Linked DNA regions of Callithrix jacchus. The protein of the gene in region 2 interacts with the protein of the main gene of each other region in a pairwise test. Links are inferred from orthologs where the notes say so. Each region holds a gene or a part of one and is shown on either strand. Other genes may lie near its edges.

Region 1 (4,944 bases), about 31 Mb from region 2:
TGCCGGGTAAGACCCCAGTCCCCAAATCCCAGTTTACAACCATTCCCTTGGAGGTCTGTGGCCAGGCTGACTGGCCAGGGCCAGCCTATTGGGTGTTCTCAGCCTGAGAGCTGATGGGGAAGGGACTCAAACCAGCCTTCTTTATTCTTGGATGAATTTGGTCTTGGGTTAACTTTTCTTAGCTGCTGCTTAGGAAACCTGACAAAGGTCGAAAAGCAGCTGTCTCACCAGCAACAACAGGCTCTGGTTGGTAAACCTCAGAATTAGAGACATGGGCAGGCTTCCCATGGGTGATGATTTACCCACCTAGCTTGTCACACTGCACACCTGCAGGTGACCAACCTACTGACAGGGGTCCCATTCCTTGCACAGGTGTTACTGCCTGCTGCGGAAGACTGGGAATCCCCTGAGGCACTGACAGCGGGGCCAGGTGCAGAGGACCTGGAGCCAGCAATTCCAACCCACACCTCGGTCTCCAGAAGACCCACAGTGCACAAGCACCCACACCAAGGCAGGGGATGGGGTGGGGCTGTGTGACAGCTTCAGGCAGAGCCCTGAGTCCAGTGGGAAGCAGTATCATGAAACTGGCCAGCTCACCACCCTGAGAGCAGGACCAAGGCCCCACTGATCACGACAGAGGCTAGCTCTGCACTTGGGAGCCTCATCGTTTTTTTTTAATGACAGGGTCTTAGTTTGTTAACCAGGTTGAAGTACAGTGGTGCAATCATGGTTCACTGCAGTCTCGACCTCCTGAACTCCTGGGCTCAAGCAATCGTCCTGTCTCAGCCTCCAGAGTAGCTGGGACTACAGAGGCATGCCACCATGACTGGTTAATTTTATTTTTATTTTTTGCAGAGATGGATTCTTCCTGTGTTGTCCAGGCTTGTCTCACACTCTTGGATTCAAGCAATCCCCCCACCTCAGCCTTCCAAAGGGATTACAGATGTGAGCCATCATGCCTAGCAAGGGCTTCATCTTTTTAAGCCTCAGCTTCCAAAATGGAAAGCATGGAAATGGAGACAATCAGCTGCTTACAGAACTCAGTGAGAGAGATTTAGATGGACCACTTAAACCTAAAAATTCACCTCGAGTGGGAGAAAAAAAAGCATGGAACAAAATGCACGGTATGTCATCATCTGGGTAAAGGGTCAAACATCCAAAATAATGGCACACACTGCTTGCCTGACAGGACAACGGGGGTTGTCGAAACACAATTTCTAAACAATTACTTGCTGTAAGAAAGGGAGACGGGAAGACTCCAATCTCAGGTATTTTTCTTTTTTTTCTTTTCCAGATGAAGTCTTGTTCTGTTGCCTAGGCTGGAGTGCAGTGGCACAAACTCAGCTCACTGTAACCTCCGCCTCTCAGGTTCCAGCAATTTGCCTGCCTTAGCCTCCTGAGTAGCTGGGATTACAGGGGTGCGCCACCACACCTGGCTAATTTTTTAGTAGAGACGGGGTTTCACAATGTTAGCCAAGCTGGTCTCAAACTCCTGACCTCAAGTGATCCGCACACCTTGGCCTCCCAAAGTGCTGGGATTACAGGTGTGAGCCGTTGTGCCCACAGAGTATTTTTCATGATTAAAAAAGATCAGAAGTCTCAAAGGCAAAATGTTACATCTATGATTATTTTTCCTTTTTGAGATAGGGTCTTGCTGTCCACCCAGGCTGGAGTACACTGACATGATCTTCACTCACTCTTACCTCCACCTCCCAGGACCAAAAGCAATCCACCCATTTCAGCCTACCCAGTCACTGGGACTAAAGGCACACACGACCATGCCTGGCTGATCTTTTGTATTTTTTTTGTAGAGAGTAGGTTTAGCCATTTTGCCCAGGCTGGTCCTGAACTCCCAAGCTCAAGCGATCCTGCCCCCTTCGGCCTCTCAAAGTGCTGGGATCATAGGCGTGAGCCACTGTGCCAACATCTATGAATTCTGAGTGAAGAGACAATGATGTGTGTTGTCAGATGTCTACCAAAGAGAAACAGAGGTAGAGAGAGGTGTCCCTTCAGAGGATTCAGTGAGAGCACAGGCATCATCTGCTTGCACAGAGCAAGGGAAATGGCAGGCACTGAGTCCATATTCCCTGGCACACAGGGTGGTACCTGATAAACACCAGTGCCCCAGTGGTCACTGTTGGGCACCCATGACTGCCTGCCCACCGGGCACCTCAGCTGCAGCAAGAGCCCCAGAACCTGCTGTTCTCTGATGCAGCTCAGGAGTCTCAAGCCAGCCCAGTGCCCCTGCAAACCCCATCTACAGAAGACCTGCTCACCCCTGCTGGTGGGTTCAAGCTGACCCAGTATGGAGATGCCTCCCATCTCCCAAAGTGGTCCCACAAGCATGGGGAGGGCTTGAACACGGCCTCACCTGACTCATCTGTCTCTGCTTCTACAGGATAAACACCCTGACTGTGGGGTCTACATTTGCCCCCTGGTATTAATTTACATATTTATTATTTGGGCTGGGTACAGTGGCCTGTAATCCCAGCACTTTGGGAGGCTGAGACAGGTGAATGGCTTGAGCTTAGGAGTCCAAGACCAGCCTGGACAATGTGATGAAATCCCAACTCTACAAAAAAAATACAAAAATTAGCCAGGTATGATGGTGTGTCCTGTAGTCCCAGCCACAGGGAGGCTAAGGTGGAAGGTTTGCTTGAGTCCCAGAGGTCAAAGCTGCAGTGAGCTATGATTGAGCCACTGTATTCCAGCCTGAGCAACAGACTGAGATCCTATCTCAAAAAACAAAAATTATTTATGTATTAGTTATTTATTTATGCCTTTGGTGCAAGCATGATGGAATGAGGGGGCTCTTTGATTAGAGGTGAACAGAAGGATTCTGAGGTGTGACCCATCACTTCCCACGTGCCCAGCAACCCCAGGGGGAGATGCGAGGGCAGCACCAAGGAACAGGAGGCCTACACTCACCTGTGCTGGTCTGTGACTTCTGCAACTTCAGAAACTGCTGCAGGAAGCTGCCATCATTGGCAAACTTGTTGGAAACGCAAGAAGAGTTGTGTGCGTTTGTGATTCTAGAACGAAGACAGAGGATAGAGAGGGTGAGCCAGCTAGAGGAGCAGTGAGGGCACCAGAAGACAAGAATGAGGATGAGGCCACTGCCTCGCCCATCACGGCCCCTCACTCACTGCAGCATTCTCACCTACCGGGACCACAAACTGGTGCCCGGAGATTTCGGGAGATACTGCAAAGTGCACACAGCAGGCTTTGGTACCGTAAGCTAGGAACAATCTTGTTCTGATAAGAGCACTACTCCATGTATTATCTCTGCCTGAATATTGAATCTCCAGGTCCAAATGGCCCTTGGACAAGACGGTTCCTTCTCTCTTTCTGCACAGCACCTGTCCTCCCTTGCTAGTTAAACTGGGTTGTTACTGACTCACATCTGTCCCCCTGCTAGACCTTAGAGTTCTCCAAGGCAGGGCTTACATGTCTCTATTTATTTATTCATTCATTTGTTTATTTGAGACGCAGTTTCACTGTCACCCAGGCTGGAGTACAGTGGCGCAATCTTGGTTCACTGCAACCTCCTCCACCTGGGCTCAAAAGATTCTCGTGCCTCAGCCTCCCGGGCAGCTGGGATTATAGGCGTGCATCACCACGCCTGGCTAATTTTTGTCTTTTTAGTAGAGACAGGGTTTCACTATGTTGGCCACACTGGTCTCGAACTTCTAACCTCAAGTGATCCTACCACCTCAACCTCCCAAAGTGTTGGGATCACAGGCATGAGCCACTGCATCCAACCTATTTATTTTTAAGAGACAGGGTCTTGCTCCGTTGCCCAGGCTAAAGTACAGAGTGCAATGGTGCGAAAACAGGGACTACTGGCAGGTGACACCATGCCTGGATGATATTTCAATTTAATTATTTTTTGCAAGGGGAGGGTAGAGATAAGGTCTTACTATATTGTCCAGGCTGGTCTTGAACTCCTGGCCTCAAGTAAGGGTCCCATCTTAGCCTCCCAAGTCACTAGGACTACAGGCATGTGACACCGTTCCTAGCCAATGCCATTTTCTGACAGGCAGGAAGGGCAGCTCTGACAACAGCATATCAGCAGTGCCCAGCTCTGATTTAAATATATGTAGGCCCTTTGGTTTGCCTTTGTGTTGACTTGTTATTTTTAAAAAAGTTATACACATATTTTGGAAAAAAAAAGAGGGAGAGAGTAGAGATAAAATACAAAATAGGCTGGGCGCGGTGGCTCAAACCTGTAATCCCAGCACTTTGGAAGGCCGAGGTGGGTAGATCACGAGGTCAACAGATCGAGACCATCCCGGTCAACATGGTGAAATCCCATCTCTACTAAAAATACAAAAAATTAGCTGGGCACGGTGGCACGTGCCTGTAATCCCAGCTACTCAGGAGGCTGAGGCAGGAGTATTGCCTGAACTCAGGAGGCGGAGGTTGCGGTGAGCCGAGATCGTGCCATTGCACTCCAGCCTGGGTAACAAGAGCAAAACTCCATCTAAAAAAAAAAAATACAAAATACACTGTGATTCTTCCAGCAAGATTGCTTTGGCTGTTTCCTTAGAAATGTATGATGCTTTGCAGACCCCCAGCTCTGAGCTGCAGGCACACATGGGTAAAGAAACACAGGCTTTGGCTAAACATGGTGGCTCATCCTTGTAATCCCAGCTACTCAGGAGACTGAGACAGGAGAATCGCTTGAGCCCAGGAGTTTGAGGCTACCATGATGTATGATCATACCACTATACTTCAGCATGGGCAACAGAGTGAGATCTTGTCTCTTTTTTAAAAAAAAAAGTAATAGAGGCTCATTATGGAACAAATGGCAATGTAGAAAAACTGAAATAAGCCCGGGAAGTATGGAGAAAACCCCATCTCTACAAAGAATACAAAAAATTAGCTGGGTGTGATGGCACATGTCTATAGTCCCGGATCTATAGAGGATCACCAGAACCCAGG
Region 2 (4,944 bases):
GGATAAGGGGGGGGCGGGAGTGGGGAACAGCCCCCAGCCAGCCCTGCCCCCACCCTCCCCCGGCCGCCTCTACCAGAAGTCCCGGCGGTGATAAGAGTCGGGGTCACAGTATTTTGTGACAACCACTCTGTTGGCGAACTTGCGGCCTGTCAGGCCCTGCATGGCTTTCTGGCAGTCAAACACAGAGGTGAACTCCACAAAGATCTGCGGGGAAAACAAAGGCAGGTTTGTGAACAAGGCTCACACCCAGTGGCCAGCCAGCATCCACCCAAACCCAGAACTGAACGCAGGAAGGGGCAGGGAGGAAGGGGCTTTGCCACAGGCGTCAGAAAGGGACCCTTAGTGGAGGTTTGGTGGAATTCACCCAAACATCCTGCAAGATCAAAAAACAAGAGCACAGACACACCACAGGCATAGAGAATCAGCAGAGCCACAGAGGGCAGGCGGAAGGCAGAGGCAGAGGCAAGCTCACCACCCCTACCCCAGGGGTCCCTCGTGCTGAGTGTCTACTCCACACCAGCCATCACGGTGGGCGCTCCCAGAACCACCCCAACAGCCATGTTCTCCCAACAATAAATGAAGTAAGTGATGCTCGGAAATTAGGAATCGGAAACAAACAAGTATTCTTGAGTCAGAAACCTTTGAACATGGACTAGGCACTGAAAACTTAATTTTGCTAATTAATCATGCTATTGTGGTTTTGTTAAAAAACAATTTTTTAAGGTTATCTGGTTAGAGCAGTGGTTGTCAACTGGGGGAGGGGAGAGGGGCGTGTCCCCAGGGAACACTGAGCAATGTCTAGAGATGCTTTTGGTTATCTCAAAGCAGGGAGTAGTGCTTCTGCACTTGATGGGTGGAGACTGGGGATGATGCCTCTCAACACCCTACAACATACAGCATAGACCCCCACAGAGAAGTTATGTGACCCAAAGCTGAGAATTCAGAGAAACATACTTAAGGACCTCAGGAGAAATATATCTGACATTCTTTATCCAGCAAAGAAAAAAAGAGGCGGCGGGAGAAATTAGCTAAATATAAAAAGAATGACAAAAATATTGGCAACTTGAAGCCAGGTAAAGGTAAACCAAAATATTACCACATATACTATGATAAAAATATATTACTATCACAGTCTCTGCTTTTAAATATATTTGCAAAGATAAGTAACAAAAAAAATGTAATAAATAAGACGCATTTTTTTTTTTTTTTCTGAGACAGAGTCTTGCTCTGTCGCCCAGGCTAGAGTGCAGTGGTACAATCTCTGACTCACTGCAACCTCTGCCTCCTGGTTTCAAGTAATTCTCCTGCCTCAGACTCTCAAGCAGCTAGGATTACAGGCATGCACCACCACACCCAGCTAATTTTTGTACTTTTAATACAGATGGGGTTTCACCACATTAGCCAGGCTGGTCTTGAACTCCTGACCTTGTGATCTGCCAGCCTTGGCCTCCCAAAGTGCTGGGATTACAAGCATGCGCCACCACACCTGGCAGATGCAATACACTTAATATGCAAAACAGGTCAGCTAATCCCAAAGGCCAGGGTCTCTTCATTCCTCCTCGTTCCCACAAATGTTTCCTCAGCTTCTGCCTGAGCCAAGCTCCATCCCAGCACCAGAGGGCAGCCCTGAGCAGCCCTGACATACCGTACTCTGGAGCGCAGCGGGCAGGAGATGCCGTTGGCCTTCCACATGCTCCTGTAAGATGCCCCTTCCACCTCTCCAGCTGCCCTCCCCAACCCTGTTCTCCCTGGGCAAAGCACTCCCACATCCCAGGCCGGACCTGCGACCATCAGCCCTCACACTGGGAACACAGACCTGTCCAGTTAAGTGTTGCTGGACATCTCTACTGGGTGTCTCAGAAACCGCAAAGCCAGCTAGCCCCACACCTGCTCACCCCTGCATTTCACCTGGCATCCCCACCATCAAAGCTGCCACCGAGTATCTCATAGGCCTTCTCCCTCCCTCCACACCAATCACCAAAGTGTGCACACTTCCCAGGCCCGAGTCTCGAATCTATCAACCCCTCTCCATCCCCTGCTACTACTACTTTAAATCAGGTCACCAGGAGACCTCCCCACCATTCCTTTTCTCAACAGCAGCCAAAATCACCTCAAAAATGGAACCACGGCCCTGTTTTCTCTTTAAAAAAACCCACCACTCCAGGGAGAAACTGAGCCTCTTCCACAACATATGAAGGCCCTCCCCAGTCTGGCCCTGCAGAGCCAGCCCTGGCCCCGACACCCCTGGCTCCTGGGCCACTTCAGCAGCATCGACCCTCCAGCTCCTGGCATGCCCTCCTGCTCATCCACATCCTGCCCTGCAAGGAAGTGCCTGCTGTACCTCTGCACCCCCAACCTCACTACATGGGGCCATTTCCATCTGCCAGGTGTGACCACACTGGAGGCCTCTCAATAGCTTCCCTCCCATCTGGCTCAAAATAACTGGTCCTTCTAAGACCCACGCAGCCCTCCAAGGCCCACCACTCAGCCCCAGCCCCACCACCTCCCTCCCTCACCTGCTCACTGCCACCTCTTGACCTTGACCCCCCTGAATGAACATGCCCAGGAATGCTGCAACTCAACACAACAGGGGTGCCCTCTAACAGCTGCATCCCCAGGGCTTCAGCAGCACAGGATGGAAGAGACCGCTATTCATTACTGAAGTCTCAGAGCCTGGTCCAATGGGAATTCCATACACACGCCCTCACCACTGCCTCAAGAGGCAGACAAGGTGAGGTGATGATGACACCTGTCACGGCGCTGGAGGTAACAGGACTTGGTGGGCTCTGAAATCAGACTGCAAAAACCTGACACCTCCCTGTGTAGCTGCCCCCACTGTGCCTGTCTCCTCCCACGATGGGGCTCAGGAGCTACTGGGAGGGCTCCGGGTGAGCACAGACACAGCTTCAGCAGGGTGCCTGGCACACACGAGACACCAGCAGGTGTCCTGGGGCTGTTCCCAGCACTCTTCCCTGCTCCACAAACCAGGCAAAACCATTTCCACAAGCAAGACCACTTAAGGAGGAGGAGCAGAGTCCAGCTCTAAACAAATACAGAGCTGCATTCCCCAGCTACTGACCCTCCTGCAGGCCCTGGGCCCCCACAGGACCACACCGCCCTCTGGGTCACCAACATCTCCCATGGCCAGGCCTGAGGGCGGCACACAGTGATGGCACCTATGCTCGTGAAGCAAAGGGAGACCCAGACAGGGAGAGCAGGAGAGAGGGAGAGGAACGGGAAGACAGAACAGGAAGAAGGCGGGGGCAGGGAGAGGAGGAGAAGGGGAGAGGGTGAGGAAGTGGGGCGCGGGCCTGGGGCATCCTGACCTTTCCGCAGCCAGGCACCTCGACACCGTCCACGGGCCGGGGGATCTCGATGGACTTGACCAGCCCGTACTTGCTGCACTCGTCACGCACGTCCTCCACGATCTCCTCATACTCCTCGTCATCCAGCAGCTCCTCGGGCAGCACCATGTTCATGAGGCACAGGACCTCAGTTGGGTGGCCGCCCATCTGCACCTGGGAGCTCATCAGCCCCGGCACTTGCAGGGTCACAGGTGTCTGATTGATGGTACTCTGTGGAGCCAGAGGACGAAGGGGTGTCACAGGGGGCCCAGACCCAGTCACCCTCTGCTCAAGCCTGTGCCCCTCGGATGCCCACCCTGGGGAAAGGCCAGCTCTCCACTTCAACACCTAAAGCCCCACTCCGCAACACTGCACTGAATGACCCCCAAATGCCTTCCCATATATGCTGGGGGAGAGATCAGGAACACCTGTCCCTAGCCAGCCCCTCCCAACCCCGGGGGCCCTCGAGCCAATGGAAGATGACGTGCCGGGGGGCTCACCAGCGTGGCATTCTTGGCTCCCACACTCGCCCTCTGGACAAGCAGCTTCTTATCCCCCAGCTGCATGCCGTTCAGCCCCGCAATGGCCTGTGTTTGGAGGACGAGGGGTGGAGGGGTGCGGGGAGAGGTGGGGTCAGGGATCTGGAGCCCAACACCTACCCCCAAGCCGGGGCATTGGTGGGGGAAGAGGGGAAGGCAAAGGGGATGAAGAGCCTGGAAAAAGTCAACACCATGGGAAAGGGACCAGCCCACACGCAGGGCACTGCCTCAGGTTGGCCGCCTCCCGCCCCGTCCCCTGAGGAGGGGAGACCACAGCTTGGCAACAGCACAGAGCGGGGAAGGACAGATGCGGCAGCGGCCAGGGACTGGGGACTCACCTGATCCGTGACGTTGATGTCCACGTACTCACAGAAGGCGTAGCCCTTGGAGAGCCCCGTGGCACTGTCCTTGACCAGGTTGAAGGCCTTGAGGGGCCCGAAGGATGTCAGCAGCTCTTTGACCTACAGCAGCCAAGAGTCCATTAGGGCTGGGCTGAGGTGGGGCAGGGTGTGGGGAGGGGACTGGAGGGAGGCAGGGAGGTTACCTGGTCATCATTTAGGTAGTTGGGTAAGCCCCCGATGAACAGCTTGTGAGCAGAGTCAGGGACCACAGTGGATACAACCCCTATGGGCAGAGGAGAGACAATTCCAGGACCAGGTCAACTCCCAAAAACCTGGGACAGTCCTGAGGCAAGGAGGAGGGGCCACACCACGCGCCCATCACCACCCCCCCGCCCCCGCAGCCTGATCTGACAAGGGAGGGCCTGGCCAGTGGCACACCACGGCTCCGTGAGAAGGCACCATGTCTCCCAGATCTGCCCAGCCTCAGAGGAACCTCAAACTAGAACATCCCCCAAAACACCCCGAGGGCACCAAGACCCGAGTTCACACCCACCTCTGCCACCTGCTGCTGTGGAACGCTGGCAGGTCACCTGGGCTTGGGACCCACTGGTGAGTCCCAACACACTCCACCCCTTCACTGACAGCCACCCAGGCAAGGCTCCCATTAACGCTCGGTCCCCCACTTCACGCCCTGTCAGAACAGCAGGTGCCACTGCAGGG

What was found.
Region 1: the proteins of U2AF2 (region 2) and SUGP1 interact in binary tests that used the Homo sapiens proteins (3 or more experiments, as listed by UniProt). The link is inferred for Callithrix jacchus from reciprocal best matches to the Homo sapiens genes U2AF2 and SUGP1.

The regions. Positions count from the first base shown.
Region 1 is NC_133523.1:17,990,648-17,995,591, forward strand, and holds part of SUGP1 (SURP and G-patch domain-containing protein 1), read right to left. Parts: intron 3,033-4,944; coding exon 2,929-3,032; intron 1-2,928.
Region 2 is NC_133523.1:48,531,734-48,536,677, reverse strand, and holds part of U2AF2 (splicing factor U2AF 65 kDa subunit), read right to left. Parts: intron 4,508-4,944; coding exon 4,428-4,507; intron 4,345-4,427; coding exon 4,222-4,344; intron 3,932-4,221; coding exon 3,833-3,931; intron 3,576-3,832; coding exon 3,327-3,575; intron 205-3,326; coding exon 70-204; 3' UTR 1-69. UniProt on the Homo sapiens protein: Plays a role in pre-mRNA splicing and 3'-end processing. By recruiting PRPF19 and the PRP19C/Prp19 complex/NTC/Nineteen complex to the RNA polymerase II C-terminal domain (CTD), and thereby pre-mRNA, may couple transcription to splicing.